2 linked regions of the Arabidopsis thaliana genome follow. The protein of the gene in region 1 interacts with the protein of each later gene in a pairwise test. Each region holds a gene or a part of one and is shown on either strand. Other genes may lie near its edges.

Region 1 (7,276 bases):
CAATCTCGAGACATGGGCTAAGCAGCTTACTAACACATCATGAGGAAGGGACAAACTCTTTTTCTGCTTCCTAACCAATGGCTCTTTACCGTTCGTGGTGACTGGAGACGCCATTAGTAGTTAGATTCAACGCTGATTTGAAAATTAGGGGTTTTACATAGATAAGCGAAACCTTCCGGGCTCACACTAGCCCTAGTCTTGGGTTTAAGCCCTTATTAGAAACTTGATGCTATTAAAATCAAAAACAAAATCTCCTTTCGTACTTTTGGACTTGCCTCATCAAATATAAAGTTGACATGTTTGATTGCCAAAACAAAAACAAATTGGAGAAAACTCTCGACTTATGAGTAATAGGTAAAATATATATTATCATATAAAGCCCAATGGATCCATTTCTTATTGAGGAAGTAAAACATGATCTCTAGAAAATATAGTTAAGACTTATGATAGAAATATTAAACAACTTGATGAATACAACATAGAATACACAAATTTTCGGAATGAAATAATTTTAAAAAAGCAACTAAACATATTATACAAATGATTTTGCAAAGATCCATTCCATAAAGTAAGCAATCAAGAGTAGTTGGAAATTCAATCTAAAATGATTTTGCAAAGATCCATTCCATAAAGTAAGCAATCAAGAGTAGTTGGAAATTCAATCTAGAGTTATTGGCATCCCACCAAAACCCAATCATATCGTTTGTCTTGTAATTGTTTAGTTGGAGAACCATACTCTATCCATGAAATTGGAAATTTCCATTTAAATCTTCTTTTATGATAAGAGTTCTTATAATTAAATTCAAAATCGAAAAGTCCAAATAACCTATGAAAATATTCATAGGCCGGAATTAGGAAAGGAAACACTTTGGTTTCTACTATCTCTTTTGAGAACGTTATCATATTACTCAAACCTATGTTTGATGGTGTTTAATGTTATCAAGATGTTCCAAGGGCTGTCCACATTAAACGCGCGGCTTATCTGGATACAGCTCGGTATCTACCTTAAGTTAGAACACAAAGATCTATGGGTATCCAAGGGCTGTCCACATTAAACGCGCGGCTCATCTGGATACAGCTCGGTATCTACCATGAGTTAGAACACAAAGATATATGGGTATCAGTTTTAAGTGTTCTTTTTCTTAGAGATATCTAGGTAAGGTTTGGGTTAGAAATTTTGTTAATGTGTTAAGCATATATATAATGACACAAAGATATATTTTCATTGAGCATTAGTCAAACTTAAATCATATGCACACATATATATACCGATCAAATGAAACCTAATCCGCTTAGTTGAATAATTAGCAAGAAATAACAAACAAATCACTTAAATTTGTATTCAAAACCCTAAAACCCAAGAGAAAATGAACAAGGTTTCATTCATAAGCTTAGAATAGCGCAAGACTATATATATAGACAATAGTAACGAAACAAATACAACTTAAATTTTATAATTTTTTAATTCTAAAATATTATTTTGCAGTGGACCGTACATTTAAATCAAACAAAATAATAGCGTATACATAGATCATCCTAAAAAAATTAATCTTTTATTTAATTAACATATAGGCTCGCGATGTACCGCAAATTAATCTCTAACAAACATAAGGGATACACTTATATAGAAAATGAATTAATCTAATTATCTAACTAATAGAATCATATAAGATATATACATATCTCTAGAATATATTCATAATATCTTCTTGGATCATATGGATCTTCTAGATCCTTCTATAAGAACATGGATCTTTTTGTTTCTCTTTCTCTTGTTCTATGTTATTTTGGTTTAATTAATTTAATTGGTTATCTTATATACATTTTTGCAGCCATTTTGTGAAATAAATCCTGGAGTTGGAACTTATTTACAATGGCTGTCACCGGCTTATTCAATGCGAAAATTAACTACCAAATAAAAGCAAATCTTATTCAAAAGAATATGCTCTTATTCCATGGCCTAATTATTTTTGCCAAAATGGTTAAAAGATTTAAAAATTAAATAATCATTCGAAAGAAAACTTTAAATTGATTTAAATTATAAATATTTTAATAAAAATATTATTAAAAAAATAAAAAAATAATTTCACCGAACATGATTAGATAGTAGGACTAGATGGTATGACGTGTTTATAATATTATAATATATAAACTTTATAACAATTAAAGAAATATTTGAAAGAAAACTTTTAAATTGATTTGAATTAAATATTTTTTAAATTAAAGTATTATTAAAACAAAAATCACAAAATAATGTCTAATTTTACTGAACAGGGTTAGTGGTAGGACGGGTTTGGTCGACAGTATTACGAGATGGTATACTACAAGTGAAATCCATTAGATATGTTTAATTTCACTGTGCATGATTAGATGGTATGACGGGTTTTGATCGATAATAATACAAAACGATATACTACGGATGAAATCCTAGATATAACAATTAAAATCTATATATACATTATCTTAAACACTAAACAAAGCAAACAATATTAATAAAACAAATATCTACATATACATTTTATATAACAAATTTTATTAAAAACCTAGCCCCGCGGTATACCGCGGGTCAAAATCTAGTTAGTTATTATAGCAACTGATAAAAAAAATATAAATTAGATGCCGATTATGTATAATTCAGAAATGTCATCAGATTTGTTACAACATGCATATAACCTTTTTAAAAGCCAAAATATTTAGGCACATAGAAATTGTATTAGTTAGATTAACGCGTGTTAAAATAAATTAAATTTTAATACATATTAATTTTTGTTTTGCTGTCTTGATTTATTATTTATTGCAAATTATGAGAACTGTTACACAAATGATTCTACCACAAACAATTCCTTTTTATGATTTACTATCAAAATATTATATTAAATTTGAATGTATAGATAAAAAATTTGGAGAAATTGTTTCTCTCGACTCTTTTATTATTTACATATATTATCTTATAAATCCAAATATATATATTTATAAATATAAGAGAAAAACATGTTCTCTAGAAACAGGAATTAAACCAACATAATAAAACGACAACAAACTGGACTCGATCAGACAAACCCGGTATAGATGCATATCCGAGAAATGAAGTTGTGAAGATTCGCTCCATCAATTAAGCAACATGTTTGAAATTTAGTCTAGTATGACGAAGATCCCACCAAAATGCAATAGTATCGCCTGCTTTGTAATGTTTTCTTTTTAGAATATCATTCCATCCATGAAATTTAAAATTATTTCCATCTTGTCTTATGATTACATATGTTGTAATTTGAGTATCAATATCATACACTCCAATCATCTTTGGCTTGTCTTGAACTTGTAACAACTGGACGAGAGTACTTATCTCCATGAAAGGAAATAAATTGGTTTCTAGTAACGCTTTTGGCATCATTATCGTAGTACTCCTATCGACGTCAAATGGTGACAACGTTATCATGATGTTATATGGGTTGTTTGAGTCATACTGCTTATCTGGAAAATTCGCCATGAGTTAGAACAGAAAGATATATGAAAAATCGGGTTTCAATGTTCCTTACTCCGTAAAGGCTTATGCAAGGTTTGTATAAAAATATTTGTTTGTGTTAAGGGTATATATAGTGACAATAAGTTGTACTTATGTACGTGGTTAATTGTAATTAAGAGCTTATACCAATAGAGAGATACTATGTTTTCAAGTTAGATTAAAATTAATTAATTGAATATGTTTTGTCTTACCCAAATAACACTAATTTTGTTTGATATATAGTTTCATAATATTATGACATATATAGTTTTGTAGTTATTGAATTCTAACACGTGTTAAAGTGAAATAAATTTTGACAGGCTGACTTAACATCAAAAAGTTTTGAAGTAAATGTCATTTAAGTATTTGACATTTTTTTGGCTCATGTAGTTGTGAGCTTGCAAATTTAACTCTATAAGATTCTGTAAGATTTTTTTTTTACTTAAGACAATAAATAGTTTTTCTTTTTGACCAAACTATTGTGGCACATAAACTTTAATTACATTCATTAGAAATATGGGTAATATGTTAATCAGTGAATTATATGTTAGAATATATATACACAATATTTTCATGAGTATAATAGATTCATTATTAATTGAACATGTTTTCTCTTTCAACAAAAGTAATAGTTAAGTTTTAGGGGATATTATTGGTTTATGATTTCAAAGGAGTTTTATTGACTTAAAATGTCATGTAAAATATGTTGTTATTCAATCAAGATAATATAAAACTATGTTAATGTTTTGTGTTATTCATTTAAGATTTGTAAAAAGTAATCTAAAATCTTCATAAATTTGGGGTTATTGGATTCATATTCTTATAAAGTCAGTAAGAGTTTTGTGGTATTCAATTAAAACAAAAGAATCTCTTATTGTTAATGATTTAAATTATTATGTTATTGGTTCATGACTTTCTATATTTTTGTTTACAAAATAAAGTCATAAAAAGTAATGAAAAATATTATCAAAATAGAGAGATTGTTTAAGAAACTTTACAAGATTATTGTGAAGCCTAATCTATAATTTCCGATTAGAACTTGCGACTTAGTTTAGGGATTTGAAAGAAAATAGAAAAAACGCAAACAAAGAACACCGAGATTTTACGAGTTCAGGTTCCGGTGTGGAACCCTACGTCTCGCCGGAGATTGACTCCGGAATCCACTAGATCATAGCTCAAACTCGAGCTCATACAAGTGACCGTTACAATCGCTCACCGGATTACAGTCACTCTCAAGCTTTCTCTCACTCACCAACACAAAACCAGTTACTCTCTCTACCTCTAACTCTAAGCTCACGTCTCTCGTCGACTTGCGTAGTCTCGTTGTCACGCTTCTCTTATCTGTTTCATTCTGTTACATACTCAAAGAAGAGTAGAGAAGAAGAAGATACAGAGCCAATGATAAAAGACCCTTTTACCCTTCTAGTTGTGACTTATTACTAATCTCACGTGTGTGCTTCTCACGTGAGCCAATGAAGGAAGCTTGGGTCAAACCCTCTGATTGCTTCAGATACTTATCACACTTTAGCATATATCTTGAGATCGGATGACACTAAACCTTCAAATCTCCACCTTGTCATCGATCTTCTTCACGCTCCTTATCTAGCTTCTTGGATTCCATCTCCGGTACTTGAGCTTCACCGCTCATCTTGAACTTCACCGTTCAACTTCAATGCTTCCTTGAAAAATTGTTTCCTCAATGCATCTTAAAATCAACATGTCTTGATTCTACTTGAAGACTTCCTCGCAGCTGCTCCTTAGAACCCTTTAAACTTGCTCTAACCTTGACAACTCCAATCTTCACACTTCAACAACCATTAGTGAACATATCTTCGATGGAAAAAAAATAGCTGTGATGTGAATCACACCGACGTTCCCGAACCATCGACGTTCTAGTATCACTTCTTGAGTTGTGAACCAACTTTAACACAGACTTGTGTCAACAAAAAACTCATGTTTGCTTCACTTGTTTCCTTCACAGCCTGGATCCTTTTTTAACCTCTGCAGATCGATTCCTCGCTAGCCCTTTGATTCATTTCATGTGCACTGAACTTTGAATCAAATTCTCCCTTGAATCATTATGCAAAAATATCTTGGATCGCTTGTGCTTTTCTATCCTGAAACAGTCAATGATTCATCCTGCAAAACAATCTAAGCCAATAACCCGTTAGTAGTAAAATGTATTTAACTAGAGATTGTACTTACAGTGATTTGTTTGAACTTTGAGCATCACTTTGCACCGCCTATGTTACCAACAAAACATGCCTCCTAACTTTCACAGAGAAAGGAAAACTTCCGATACAACTCTTTTTGCTCAATCTGGTTCGAAACCCTTCTGAATCAGCAAACCCTTTCAATCCAACAGATTTGAACCCCTGTTAGCTTCTTTAAACTTGTCTCATATCAACACTCCTGTGACATGCCTGAGACTTCTCCTTTACAGCCCTTGAACTTCACTCTAGAACTTCTCGAAGTCGCTTCCTTGCTGCAAAAAAAACACTCTGCAAAACGTCCTCACGTTTGCAATCTTCACCTAACTTGGCACTTGCATCTTAAAACCATCAGAGATTAATCTGAATCCTTTCTTTATCCTCATAAGCTTCCTTTACATGTGCCTATTTGTTACTTCTTATGAAGCAAAAAAGGTGAACAGAACTTTTCCTTGTTCTACTTCTTCATTCTCATCCTATCTTGGATGAATTCTTCTCAGTTGCTATACCAGCTCTTATGATGAATCTTTTAAACCATGATTTATGCATTGCAATTCACGTACTTGAGGTGAATGAACCGCAGACAAATTCTTTGCAAGACCTTGCACTTGTCTCTTACCGTCTCCTAAGAGAATCACTTCAATAAACTTTTATCTTGAGCTTGTACTTCAGCTTTGCTGATCTTCTTAATCATGCAACTGATATACCAATGTCTGAACTACCATCAAGCATCCTTTAAACCTGAAAAACTTTCCTTTTAACTCCTGTTGCAACCTTCTTATGCTTGAACGTTTCTGACATCTCTTACCCGTTCTCGAAACTCTGTCTTCTTCACACACTTGACCAATCCGAATTATATCCAAACAGCAACTTATTTCTTCTCATAGCTAACACCTGATGCGTTGAAAACCCAGTATACTCAGACCTTGTCTTTGTACTTAAGATAACCGAGAAACTCCTCAACTCTAAAGCTCCACCTGAAATCACAAACCATCTTTTACGAACGTGTATTACTTCCCTGTAATACTGATGACTCCACCTGAAACTTTAAACCATCGATGTTGCTTGTATCTCTCGACATTAATTCTGACTTGCCGAGCGAACTGCCTCTTTGTCACTGTCTCTATAATTCTCAATCATAAAACCTTGTGCGCTTGACTGTATGAACCTTATCACTTGATATATCCATAATTCTTTCCACTTTGTAGCTACACCAACAGTCTCTTTACTCTTTAGCAGTTTGCTTCTAGAGAAGCTCTCAATCTGATTTTGTGATATTATATTGAATACTTTAGTCTTAGAGACCAACTGATCAACCACTACCTTGTTATAGCATTAGAACACTTGACTCTTCACACCCTTATACTGAATTTCTTCCACCATAACAGATGTCTCCTGGAACCATCTCACAAAGCACCACCCTTTCTTATTTGCAGAAATTCTCACACTAACTTGAATGTACCATTTCTGAAAACTCCAAAGAAAACACCCGAATGATGCTAGAGATTTATAAGCAGGACCTTTATTCTTGAGTCTTCATGTCTAGATGTTTCTATAACCAGCT
Region 2 (4,859 bases), on another chromosome or scaffold:
TTTTTTTTTAATAAAGAAGAGAGTTAAAAGATAATTTTGTTAGCTAGAGTTACAGGGCTGTGAGTCTGTGATCAGAGCTCTGTTATTCTTCTATATGATGATAAAATTCATATATTATTGTAGACGATGATAAAACTTATATTGAATTGAAATAGCAGCCATGCTTGTGAATATTAAAACTAGAAATTTTTACTGTAACGTCAATGTTATACGCACTAGAAAATCAAAATGCAATATAGAGTTTTAAGGAATATATAAAGAGACTTAATGGTCGATAAAGAGATCAAAAACAAACTTGTTATAGCGGTTGCATTGGTTGTGGCCGCAGGTGAAGAAGCGACGGTTACATAGGCGATAATGGATTAAACGACGAGCCTTGAGTGAATCCGGTGGGAAGATGAAAAAGGAAGAAACACCATGGCAGGTGAAATTCGACTATGCTCACATTGCAACCATTGCATCGGTCTAACTTCCTCTTTCATATACTCACATTTTTACGAGAATCAACCAAACAATCGTTGCGAGAGAAGCACTTGGATCCTACCTTCCATTGCACTTACTGTTTCCTTGTTTTAAGAGTGAAATGTTTGATTGTGATGGCTTTGGTTATCACAAGAAACAAACAATTGTATAGAGTAACTCAAGTTAATACTCATTACTGTTTATTACAATAGTTACATTTTAAAATTCGTCCGTTATGTCAACCTTTGAAACAAAACATGGAATAGAATTTATACCATGTTGACTGTTAACATTGTAGTAAATAAGATGTATTCAAAGTACTAAAAGAAGTAACAGTCTACTTTACTGACTAAACTTTACTAACTATATAACAGCAAAGTTTATAACTAATATAAAATGAAGCTTTTGGGCTACCTAACCGACATGCCACAACCAAATTTGTTGCTCTGCATGGGTCCTTTTGCAAGATTGGCACGACTCATAAAAATGCTCCCAAAAGTCCGTACTACAAAAAGTTTCGGAGGATTAAAACTATTCTAAATTTCTAATCTTATTCTAATTAAAATGCTCCCAAACGTACGTACCCTACAACAAGCTTAGCAACGACCTAAATTAAATTTCAGATTTTTTATACTTTTTGTTGAGTGAATATGATTACTTTGGGCTTGCAAAACACTTAAATATGTCAAATGGTCCGTTTATAGATTATTGAGCGTTTTCGTGTGGACAATTTCTTTTGTGGGCTGAAGTTGGGCGGTCCATAATGGATTACAACGATCCATTGGAGCCGGCTATGATACTATTGTAAATATTATATTGGTTCGGGGCAGCAATGTAATTGGTTGGAACGCTCAAAAAGAGATTGAGAATAGAAATGGAAATGATCTAAATCAATAATTTGCACAAAACTTTATTCTCAATTTACCAAGTGAAAGTTATCTAAATCTAATATTTTGCAAAAAGTTTACTTTCCAATTCCATATTAAGAGAAATCTAGATATTTAGACAATTTTCTAATTTGTTTCAAAAAGAGTTCTGATTTTTTCTCTTTTGTATTTTACCTTTTTTCTTAGGCTAAATCTCCTATATATATGTTTGAATAGAGAACGTAAGAAATATAAAAAAAATTAAGCAAGATGAATTACAACGATCCATTGGAACCGGCTATGATCATAACAAAAGTGCTATCAAAGAGTGATATCGTTGGTAATGTGGTATTACCGAAAGCAGAAGTGATGTCTGTCCTCACGAGGATGAATGTTAACGACCAAGATTTGCTAAACGGTGTTGAAGTGCAAGTCGACGACATAATGGAAGACGACTTATACACAGTTACGCTCAAAGTATCAGGTATCGATAAACCTAAATATTATTTCGGTACTGGTTGGAGTACTATGAAGCATTCGTTAGATCTCTCAGAAGGCGATGTTCTGAAACTCTACTGGAGTCACTTGGACAACAAGTTCGTTGTTTTGAATTTTCAGTATTCAGTACTTCCATTAATGATTCCAGTGTAGCTCGCTTGCACCTATCTTCTTTTCTGTTTTTGACTATTTATGTTTTGGATTTCATATCCTAGTTAAGTGCTGGCTTTTTTTGCCCTATCTTTTTGTTTCTCTTTTGTCAAACTTGATTGGATTATCTTGAATTTGAATTTCAATAAAACGTGGTTCACTTGCCCTACACATGTCCACACACAGACAAAAGTCTTTGACAATTATGTAATTTCCTGCTAGCGCTATTGTATGTGAGCCTAGTTCATGGTCCATCAATCGAGCCAGCCCAAAGTCACCTACTTTTACATTGAAATTGATGTCCAACATGATATTGCTTGCCTTGATGTCCCTATGCAACACACACCGATCTCCCTCTCCGTGAAGATCTGTGTGTCCTAGGTGAGATAAGGGGTCTTTTCTCAAAGAGGTGAGTGTCCAAGCTACCATTCGGCATGAACTCCTATATAAGCAAATACTCATCTTTTTCATTACACCAACACAATGGGCTGCACCAGGTTTCGATGACGCAGTTTGCTAATGATCTTAACTTCGGTTACAAACTCTTTCTTTCACTGCTTGGAACCACCAGACAATTTCTTCACAGCAACCATCATATCTATTTCGTTCAAGTACCATCTATAAACTGCCCCAAACCCTCCTTCACCAAGCTTCCTCTGGGCTGAGAATCTGTTGGTAGCTAAAACAAGATCCTTATAAACAAACCTCAATATCCAAACTTGAGATGAACTCCCATGATAAAAGCTTATGTCCCTCTGTGACCGATCCAGTAGCGGCTGAAAACCCGACCGTAACATGTGGTGGCAAAACCTTTGCAAGATCAATGATATAGGAAATGCCTAAACTCTCCTGAGGATCAGAGGTTAATTCATAAGCCCAAGACGCACTCAAATTCTTAGTAACAGAGTCATAGGAGATATGTGCATGACCAACATCTTGGATATGTGAGCTTGCATTCCAAGAAGTGTAGTTAGACGAAACAAGAGAGTTATTATTGATTCCCACATGAGATCCAACAGTGGTAGGATCCCATTCTTGGTTATTGAATGAGTCAAACTCGATATGAACCAGCGGAAACGAAGATGCGTAGCTCTCGATTCGAGAAAAAAAGACCCAAGAAATCACCAGCTGAGTTCACAGGAAGTTGAATCCGCAAAGGAGCAAGAAAGAAGCAGATCCCATGACCGTAATTCTAAAGGTTACGGGTATCAATCTTAAAGGAGAAACTGGTACTAAAATCTGTAGGCTTACCAGTTTTAGGATTCCAGAGAGGCACTTTCTCAGCATAAGTAACCCAAACACCCAACCAACACGAGCTATATACTCTACGTTGTTGAAGTTTACCGTCCCATCGGGTATTGCATCCCCATGGTAAACCACATCCTCAGGACCACCTGGGATTATCGAAAGGAAGGGCCTTTTCGAGCTTGAAGCTCCCATTACTCCATGACGCAATCTGTTGAAACTTCATTCTCATAGTGATCAATTAGCTTGATCTACCGAGGAAGATGACAAAAAATTTCATTCGAAACTTGAATCAAACGATTCAGGAGTTCTCGCTCGAATTTGAAAACCCCAAACACAGAATCTGCAGAACAGAAAATCGCACAATTGATTTGAAACGAAGATTCCTAATTCCCCGGTTTGATCGTACGAACTCAGTGAGATACCGCCGGTTTAACCAGATAACCATTCGGTTTAGATTTAGAAGAAATCTTCGGTTTAAGGAAATCGCCCATTTGGCATGGGCTTACAAATAAACAAGCTTTGGCGAATGGCCCATATCCCGCTAAATTAATGACCCATGGATTAGTTTGTTTTCTTGTAATGTCCCACATCGGTTACAATATTCAGGAACAGTGACTAAAGTCTACTATAAATAAAGATCGAGAGCATTTCTTTAATATTCACGGAGCCGAGCAGTGAAGACAAAGCGAGCTATTCTTTCGCCTTTTACTAAAGAATACCGTGTCTTCTCTGCATTTAATCGGCATACGCCTATTTTTGGAAAGGTTTATTACCAAAATTATAAACCTCCATCAATTAGAAAGTTTGAAAAGCTATTAACCTTAACTATTTCTCTAGGCTAAGTGATAGTCCAGTCTAAGTTGAAAGAAAGAGTCTTGAAGAAACAATAAAAAGTGTGTCGAAATTTGAATTTCTTTATAGCATTGTAGAAAATAATATAGGTAGAACAAAACAACATCCGCCAACATTTGGAATAGGGATAATTCATGAATTTAATGAGCCTAAATTAAAACATTGTGAATGATGGTCCCATAGCTACTTCACTTGTGTGTAGGAGCAGATGTGTTGATGCGAGAACATACATTTTTGAGGAGAGGAGGGAAGAACGGATTTAGTGGAAACATTTTTGGCCAACATTTTGCATCCACAGCCATAAACGCCTTGCAGCACATAAATCCTACGTTATCACACTTTCCTGTGAAAACTGATTTGTAGATTTCAGTTACACAACCTTGAACGTTGACAAGTGATGACAAACATTTTGTGAGATCGATCGGAGAACCAGGGATGACAGGGAATTGCGGTGTCTTGTGTGCTGGTGCACCTGAGATGATGCGAGAGCAACCATCCTTGAGAAGAGGAGGGAATAATGGATTCAACGGAAACATTTTTGGCCAACACTTTGCATCCACTTCTGTAAAAGCCTTGCAGCACGTGGATCCAACGTTTTCAAACTTACCGGTTAAAACAGATTTAAAGATTTCGATATTGCAACCGTGAATGTTGAGGAGCGATGACCAACATTTTGCGAGATCAACTTGGGAGCCGGGTAGAGAAAACCCAGCACTGGTAGGGAGTTGAGCTAGCCCGGGCTTCACTAAAGTAGTGGCACACAAAGTCACAACTAGAATCGTC

What was found. The genes of interacting proteins can lie anywhere in the genome.
Region 2: the proteins of AT4G05630 (region 1) and AT5G54067 interact in a two-hybrid assay, tested with the Arabidopsis thaliana proteins (one large-scale study listed by BioGRID).

Annotation. Positions count from the first base shown.
Region 1 is NC_003075.7:2,985,336-2,992,611, forward strand, and holds AT4G05630 (B3 domain protein), read right to left. Parts: upstream 3,488-7,276; coding exon 3,113-3,487; downstream 1-3,112. Other genes in the region: AT4G05620 (Galactose oxidase/kelch repeat superfamily protein), read right to left, coding at 1-114; AT4G05631 (uncharacterized protein), read right to left, coding at 4,671-4,853, 5,235-5,300, 5,776-5,877, 6,276-6,337, 6,420-6,445, 6,521-6,534, 6,607-6,689, 6,804-6,975 and 2 more.
Region 2 is NC_003076.8:21,938,886-21,943,744, reverse strand, and holds AT5G54067 (B3 domain protein), read left to right. Parts: upstream 1-1,598; coding exon 1,599-1,979; 3' UTR 1,980-2,143; downstream 2,144-4,859. Other genes in the region: AT5G54062 (egg cell-secreted-like protein), read right to left, coding at 4,265-4,859.